Canis lupus familiaris: one gene and its partner. The protein of the gene in region 1 purifies or fractionates together with the protein of each later gene. This does not show direct contact. Links are inferred from orthologs where the notes say so. Each region holds a gene or a part of one and is shown on either strand. Other genes may lie near its edges.

What was found. Proteins that work in one complex are often made in the same cells at the same time.
Region 2: the proteins of MAGOHB (region 1) and PYM1 purify together in Homo sapiens (co-immunoprecipitation; 3 studies listed by BioGRID and IntAct, with this or other methods). This does not show direct contact. The link is inferred for Canis lupus familiaris from reciprocal best matches to the Homo sapiens genes MAGOHB and PYM1.

Annotation. Positions count from the first base shown.
Region 1 is NC_049248.1:11,017,069-11,021,333, forward strand, and holds the start of MAGOHB (protein mago nashi homolog 2), read right to left. Parts: upstream 2,841-4,265; 5' UTR 2,747-2,840; coding exon 2,653-2,746; intron 1-2,652. UniProt on the Homo sapiens protein: Required for pre-mRNA splicing as component of the spliceosome. Plays a redundant role with MAGOH in the exon junction complex and in the nonsense-mediated decay (NMD) pathway.
Region 2 is NC_049231.1:615,901-620,335, forward strand, and holds the start of PYM1 (partner of Y14 and mago), read right to left. Parts: upstream 2,911-4,435; 5' UTR 2,528-2,910; coding exon 2,494-2,527; intron 1-2,493. UniProt on the Homo sapiens protein: Key regulator of the exon junction complex (EJC), a multiprotein complex that associates immediately upstream of the exon-exon junction on mRNAs and serves as a positional landmark for the intron exon structure of genes and directs post-transcriptional processes in the cytoplasm such as mRNA export, nonsense-mediated mRNA decay (NMD) or translation.

The DNA.
Region 1 (4,265 bases):
ATGATTTATACTATTTTCATTAATATTTCTGCCCTTTCAGCATAAGATCAATGCTAGACCTGTAAACACTCAAATATTTGTTGGTAAAAAGTTGGCTAAAGGTGAAGCCAGTCATTTTCAAAACTTTCACGCCTTCAATAGATTTTTAAAGTATTTAACATAATTTTTAAATATTTCATGCCTTCAATATAATTCAATATAATAGAGGGGTCATTTTTAAGGCTCATTTGCCTAAGCTGTCATGAACTAAACAGGGACTCTGAAAAAGGAATTAACATTTTTTTTAAAGCCTATGTAATAGGTCTCTATTGGCCCTAAGTCATTTACCCAGAGCATTAGATCTAATCGGTAAAACAACCCTTAAAAGGTTTTATTCTCTCAACTATTCATAGTTGAGAAAACAGAGTTAAATAACTTGCCCAGGGTCACAAAGATTCAGTTCTAGGTCTACCTTCTTCCAATACTCCTGCTTTCCCCACTACTCCAAAGTGTTCTTTTAATTATCTCCTTCAAATTAATCTATGCATGGCAATGCTACTATTTAACACTGTGGCTAAGATACAAAACTATGTACTGCTTCTAGATAAAAGTCGGCCAGTTTGTTAGCTGACCTACACTTAACTTTAATCCATGACTTTTGTACTCCCTGATGCATGCTTCTCCTCATAGCTATAGTCAGTTGTTCATATACATATGTAATGTGGTCCTGATCTCTAAAATGATAGGTTACCCTAGTGCAGTGACCCTTGATCACTGAAGGAAGTATATGGAATGGTGTGGTGGCAGACAACTGGATGAAAACCACTGTTCTGGCATGAACTCTCCCTGATAAATGAGACTACTTAATTTATGTGACTAAACATGATCTAGGCAAGCTGAAAGCTGTTTACAGGCAAAAGCACTAAAAGGAGTATCACCTAAGAAAAGATTAGATGGAGAATTCAGGTAAATTTGGCTCCTTAGCTAAATTTAGAAGAGACATGGCAAGAACATAGGAGAATAGTGATTAAGGTTTCTGAACTGCAGGGCTGTAGTTACTTTGAGTTTCTTTTTATGTCTGATACTATTCCCCCTTCTCTAATATGTGATGATGCTTCTGTGCTTTATCTTTCACTCTCACAGAACTCTGTCCAAAGCATAACACATCATTTAATATCCACACTGTTTTATGGCTAGTTTTACATCTTTGTTACCCAAAGCAAAACTCCTTCAGAGAAGTTGAAGAGACTTGCTCATTATTGTACCCTCAATTTTTGTATTTTACATGTTGCCCAGCATATAACGGGCATTCAAAGACAGAAAAATCTATGCAGGTGGACTGTCCTGGTTCTAAGGAGAGTTCAATATACAATAACTCTCTAAAGAGAATCAGGGCTCTCAAAACATAAAATATGCTGCACCTACAAGGCAGCAGTTTCCACCTTATCCTTTGTTCATGCTGCTTCCCACGGTCTGAATGTTTGTTGTTGTTTTTCCCTCACAGGCCAAGAAAATAGCTATTCTCGAGATGCCTGGGTAGCTCAGCGGTTGTGCGTCGGCCTTCAGCTCAGGTCGTGATCCCGGAGTCCCGGGATCAAGTCCCACGTCGGGCTCCCTGCATGGAGCCTGCTTCTCCCTCTGCCTGTGTCTCTGCCTCTCTGTGTCTCTCATGAATAAATAAATAAAATCTTAAAAAAAAAAAAAAAAAGTCTATTCTCATTTCAAGACTCATCTTGAAAGAGGTTTTGGGCTACCTCCACCATGATCTCAAACGCACCTTTGCCCCTCATTTTTTTTTGGCATGTATTTTTGGCATTTTGGCATGTAGAGAGAGTGTTTGAGACTCTAGTCCATGGTCTCCTTGGTGCCGGCCTCTCTGAACTAAATTCCTTTCTTGTTTCACCAACAGTAGATTCTCTGCCTTTGGATGTTATCAGCGGCTGCGCCCCCAATCTGGTCTGTTTGGGAACCCCAGAATAGCCCTGCATACCAGCTACAATTTCAAACGTTACCTTCTCTAGGAAGCTTTCCTCGACGCCTACATGTAGCCCTAACCATTCCCCTCTTTTGTATTCTTAACGCATCCTATGGGAACAACTATATTTAATCACCCAAACCACATCATTATACCCATTCTTCCATACGTGGAGCTTCCTTCTTCAGAGTGGGTCTCATTCCTATTCCTAGACACGTGGCCTTACAGACAGCGCCTGAACGAATACAATGGTTGAATGGGGAGTCCGAGAATCACCGGTCCCCGAAAGATTTTAAGCATCCATTGGGCCAGTGCGTGGTGGGATGTTCTTTAAAATGTTCAAGGATGACGTCAAGTAAACTAGATGGCATTAGGGTCTCTTCCGGTGCGCTGAACGTGGGATTCTCATTATCCTATGTTCAAGTTTTCAGTACCTGGCAGGATTCGATTTTCTGAATTCATCTACACCCGTGAATTTTCTTTTATGCAGAGAACCAACTTCTGCTTCTGAAGAGTCTTCAGTTCGTATTTACTCCGGCTCTAGCCGTGACCTCGGCCCCCACGACAGACTCGCAAGCCCCCCGACGCTGGCTCACCGCACCCCGCCTCCTCCGAGTCCTCTCCGCCCCGCTTCCCCCAGCCGCGCATCGCGCTAGGCTGCGGCGGCGGCGGCGGCGGCGCCCCGCTCCGCTGCTCACCGTCTGGCCGAAACTCGAACTCCAGAAACTCGTGTCCAAACTTGCCCTTGTGCCCTACGTAGTAGCGCAGGTAGAAATCGCTGGCCATAGCCATGTTTGCGCCCCCTGAAGCCCGCCCAAGGCCTGGCCAACGTGCCGCCGGGCGCCTGGCAGCCACGTCATCGCGCGGGATAAATGCGTCACTGCGGGCGCGCCTTTCCGCTCCCGGGTCCCTGGAGGACCGTGGGGGGAGGCGGACTCTAGCTGCTCAGAGGCGCCCGGGCGATAGGAACTTTGCGTAATTAAGGTTGGAAGACCATTTCCCCCCCCCCCCCCAAATTAAGTAGCTCATATTGTATTGGCAAAACTAATAATGATTACTTATGGGTTTAGAATGAAGGTTTGCAAGTCGCTTTTCCTCCTCGAATCCCTAATCCTCGCGGCATCCCGTCCTCACGAGGTGGGTGTGGCCTCATTCCCCTTTAACTGGTGCAAAAAGAAACAGCCCGGAATCAGAATGGTAGACCCGGACTACCGGCCCTTTCCTGAAGTTAGCTTCTTCACCGGGGCTTTCCCCTTTGTACAATGATGGAACCTAGAATAGAGGCGAAGTAGAAAGAATCCATCAGACAAGAGGTCTGAAATTTGAAAAGCGCTTTGAAACTAAAAATCTCTGACATTTACCGTATTAAGAGAGTTCCTCTTAATAGTAAAACTTCCATCATTCAGTAAGGGTTGATCTTTGGTAGCCTGTGGAGTTTGGGGAATGTGACTTAAGATCAAATGGTTTAGCCCACATTTTTTTTTTTAATTTTATTTCTCCAGGGGGAGGGGCAGAGGTAGAAACAGACTCCCCGCTGAGCAGGGAGCCCAACTTGGGGCTGCATCCCGGACTTGAGGATCGTGACCTGAACAGTAGGCAGATGCCCAACTGGCTGAGTCACCCAGGCGCCCCAGCCCACGATTCTTACCAGAAAGAATTAAATTGGGGAGGTTAAAGTAGTGTCCCAGTATAGAATGGGTTTTGGAGGAAGTGGAAAGAAACTTTATACACAGTCTGCTTTTCGAATATTATTGATCACCCTTGTTTTTACCATCAGCGTAATTCTGTTGGGTGACCTTTAACCTTCAGCAGGATATAGAGGAAAGAGTGGCAGTCAGAAGACCTGGGATTCATTCCCATCACTTACCTCTACTAACCGTGGTTTGCTTAGTCACTGTTGACGCCTGTTTGTTCACCAACCGAGTGAATATCCTACAATCAACTTTGCCAAGCTCAGGAATTACTGAGAAGATCAAATGAGATAATAAATGTATAATAAGTTTTAAAATTTGTAAAACACATAATGACTTTAACATTTAGCATTTCTTATGTGCCAGAAATGGACAGACACTGGTAATAATAATAGACCCCTTTATACTGTTAGTCCAGAGAAGAAAGCAATCATGTAGACATGTATTAACACGAGGAGGCAAACCTTAAAAGAAAGAATATTTTTAGCTCTTTGAAGAAGATACAGGTGCAATAATAGCAGAACTTTGTACACCCAGCTTCAGCTCCTGACTCACTGCTGTTCCCTGTCCCAGAGGAACAAGTTCATCAGGGAGCCAAGCTGCAGCCATGGCTTTTAAAG
Region 2 (4,435 bases), on another chromosome or scaffold:
AGCATCATCTCAAGGGGAAGTGGTGTTACAGAGTAGGTCTTAATTGTAGCGATTCTGATGTGGACCTACTTTATTTATTTTTTTAAATTTTATCCATTTATTTGAGAGAGAGAGAGATAGCAAGCAGAGGGAGAAGCAGAGGGAGAAAGACAAGCAGACTACGTGCTGAGTTCAGAGCTCAACGTGGGGCTGGATCTCATGACCCTGAGATCACGACCTGAACTAAAACCAAAACTCAGTCACTTAACTGACTGAGCCACCCAGGCGCCCCTGATGTGTAGCTACGTTAAAAATACAAAGGAGAGGCGCCTGGGTGGTTCAGTTGGTTAAGCCGCCAACTTTTGATCTCAGCTCAGGTCTTGATCTCAGGGTCCTGAGTGCAAGCTTTCAGCTGGGCTCAGGAAAACAAAAACAGGGATCCCTGGGTGGCGCAGCGGTTTAGCGCCTGCCTTTGGCCCAGGGCACGATCCTGGGGACCCAGGATTGAATCCCACGTCGGACTCCCGGTGCATGGAGCCTGCTTCTCCCTCTGCCTGTGTCTCTGCCTCTCTCTCTCTCTCTGTGTGACTATCATAAATAAATAAAAATTAAAAAAAAAATAAAGCTTTAAAAAAAAGGAAAACAAAAACAAAACAACAACAAAAAAAACCACAAAGGAAAGTCAACCATCTTGTGCTGAGGAACTATAAGACCAGAATATTTCAAAGATGCTGGAGATACTGAGAATAAGAGCAAGAAACAGGGGATCCCTGGGTGGCTCAGCGGTTTGGCGCCTGCCTTTGGCCCAGGGCGCGATCCTGGAGTCCTGGGATCGAGTCCCGCGTCGGGCTCCCAACATGGAGCCTGCTTCTCCCTCCTCCTGTGTCTCTGCCTCTCTCTCTCTCTCTCTCTATGTCTATCATAAATAAATAAATAAATAAATAAATAAATAAATAAATAAATAAATAAATCTTTAAAAAAAAAAGAGCAAGAAACACAGTGGAGAAAAAAGTGATGCAACAGGTCTGGGTCCTTATGGGCAATAAATGATGGCCCTGAGATTTTAGAGAAAATGCTATAATTGCATGGCAATACCTTCCACAAAGATTAGAATGACAGTGGTAGGTCAATGATCTGGAAGTAGTAAGACAAAGTAAAAAAAAAAAAAGCAGTGCTATTCCTTCTCTTCTACATAGTCAGAGAACAGAAGATAACTCTTAGTGGGCGAGTAGAGTGAAATGTGGTATCTGGATTTTTGTGAAATAGGTTTTAAGAAAATAGTTGAATAAAGAAAAGCACACTGAACAGTAAGTAATATTTTCAAAGCTCACATTAAAAGGAGCCAGTAGAAGAAGGATCTTCTGTAGAGAACAGAAGAGGTTCTGTGCACCACTTTGAAATGTGAGGCTGGAGACAAGTAGCAGAGACCCGGCTTGTCATAAGATACCACAGGAGAGGTGGGCTGAGACCTAAGGAACATGGAAAGTAGCAAAGCAAGAAGCATAAAGGGCACAATTCAGAGCACAGCAGCACACACAGTGTCACGTCTACAAGAGACTGCATGTACACAGCCAAGGCCACAAAAACCAGTAACACCTAGCCTTGTACAGCTTTTTATAAATTGCTTTCACATATGCTATCTTACTTGATCGTCACTAGGTAGATATTCCTAGGCACATTTTTCTAAAGATGAGGAAATCAGGATGGGACAAAACCAAAATGAAAATACTGACTTCCAGTTTTCAACACATCAACCTCCATACACCTCAGCATCTCCACCAGCCAGGCCGGAAACTCTTCTCTAGCCAGAATCGTGGCTTCTATGAACTTGTCACAGGGCTTGAGAGGCCACTTAGACACCTCCTGTTTGCCTTCTTCCACCTCAGCTCCCTCGACTTTTATCACCACCACCACCAGAGAAGGTACAGAAGGGTGATGCCATCAAGAAGAAAACTCAAGCTGAAAGTTATACTCGATTCCTCTTCCCTTCACACCTCTGAACCTCAGTGACCCAAAAATGAAGGCGAGGGAGAGAATGGAAAAAGCACTCTATGGCAACGAAGAGGTCTTTAACAGATAGAGCTTCGAGGAAGAGAACCAAGACGGGGCTGGGGTAGGGCACAGGGCAGGTACAGCTGCCAGGTGGGGGAGGGGAGCCGGAGTAAAGCTGGAATTGGAGGGAACTGAGAGTATAGGAGTTCCCACACCTGGAGCAGCCAAGAGAGATATGGGATCTCCAGCTGCTGGAGGAAAGCTATGGGCCTAGGAGGGTCCTGGAGCAGGGACCTCACTGAAGGACCCCAGGGTCTGGGTGACCGGAAGCAGGGACCCCCAAACGCGAGACCAGAAGGGGGCGCAGGTGACACCCCACAGGAGAGGATGAATGGGGAAGGCGGTCCGGAGGGCGGGGCAAAAGGAGGGGCCCCGAGATGGGCGGGGCACAGACCCCTTTCCAAGTCCGAACCCCTGCCCCGAGAGCCCGGGGAGAAGCGGCTCCGCGCCTCCCGCACTCACCGCCGGTCTCGTCAGTTACATAGGGAGTCGCCATCTTGAAAACGCAAACCACTTCCGGCGTGAGCGGGCTGGGGTCCCGCCCCCCTCCCCACCGGAAGTGGAGTCCAGATCGCAGCCAGCCACCATTTTAGTCTTAAAGGGAGAGTGCACCATTTCGTGGACGGAGGCGGCGGAGAAGCTGAAGACTAAAGGCAGCTAGAAGCTAAAGACTTGAATAAAATAAAAGCCGGAGGCTCTAGTAGGGCCAGTGATACCAATATCGGGCGCCTGGTCCGTGTGAGAGAAGTTCCGGGGCTCGGCCCCTCCGTCCGTCCGGGGCCTTCGGGGAAGAGGGGCAAGGCCCACCGGCACCCGGAGCGCGGGCCGGTAGAGGGGTCAGGCCGGACCCTGCCCCCGGGCCCCGGGGCCTCGGGCGCGCACCGGCTGCCCGGCCTTGTCGGGGGCCGCCCGCTCGGCCCCGCACGGCCCGGGCTGCCGCCGAGATCCCCGGCCGGCCCGGCGGCCTCCTCGGGCCGGCCCCGGGGTCGGAGGGCAGGGCGGAGGCCTCTGGGCGGAGCCACTTAGAGTCTCATTAACCTGGCGCAGGTCTGGGCGCCGGGCCTCGAGCTGGAGCCGGCCGCGTGCAGGGCCCCTCCCTCCGCCCGCCGGCCGGTGCCTCCCGCTCCCCGGAGGGACCCAGAGGTCGCCCCGCAGCCCGGGAGCGGCCGGCGGCAGGCTCCTCTCCTGGGGCTTGGCTCCGCGCTCCCGCTGCGCTGCCCTTCCCTGCGGATCTTTGACCCCCAGGCCCCCGCTTCGGGCTACGGACTACGCTACGTTAACGTCCCCTGCACCGCGAGGGCCCGGCCTCAGGGCCTACCTCCGACACTAGGCCGCACGCGCTTGAGAGAGGCGAGAGCACTGCCTAACTTCCTAAAACTTTGATAGGAAGCTTTGAACTTTTCTCAGGTCGTCGCTTGTCGTCCATCCCCTCCTCCACCTTCCTGTCTCGCACCAGAGGCCCCGCTCAGAAGGTCCCAAATAGACCCATTTAGGGGCGCCCGGGTGGCTCTGCGGTTGGGCGTCTGCCTCGGCTCAGGGCGCGACCCCGGGGTCCCAGGATCGAGTCCCGCGCCGGGCTTCCTGCAGGGAGCCTGCTTCTCCCTCTGCCTGGGTCTCTGTGTCTCTCGTGAATACATAAATAAAAATTTTTAAAAGATTCACTTAAGCACTGATTGGCACTCAATACACAGTTATTCCCAATGTTCTAACACTGCCATTCTTTTAAATATTTTTTTTAATTTTTTTTATTTATTTATGATAGTCACAGAGAGAGAGAGAGAGAGAGAGGCAGAGACATAGGCAGAAGGAGAAGCAGGCTCCATGCACCGGGAGCCCGACGTGGGATTCGATCCCGGGTCTCCAGGATCGCGCCCTGGGCCAAAGGCAGGCGCCAAACCGCTGTGCCACCCAGGGATCCCTAACACTGCCATTCTTAATCCCTGCTGTCTTTTTTTTTTTTTTAACTGTATTTATTTTATTTATGAGAGACATAAAGAGGCAGAGACACAGGATGCCCAGATAACGACCCAAGCCCAAGGCTGACGTCCAACCACTGAGCTACCCAGGTGCCCCAACCCCTGCTCTCTTGCAACAATTGGGCTTCAGCCTCACTGGGTCAGCATCTTGTCCTTAGTCTTGTTATTAATGATTATTAGAGGTGAGAATGCGTAATGAAGCCTTTAACTAGAGGGATGCATGGATCAATGGACCTTTCTGCAAGAGAGAATCCTAAAGTCACCAACCCTAGGCCCCTCCTTGTGCCCCCAAACATCTTGCCTCAGCTCGGGGGTTGACAGGAAGTGAAACTCAATTGTGCTATTATGTGCCCAGCAGACCTGCCTGGGTCCCAACCCTGGGCCCCGGATGTGACCCCCCTACCCCCACCATACACACACCCTGAGAA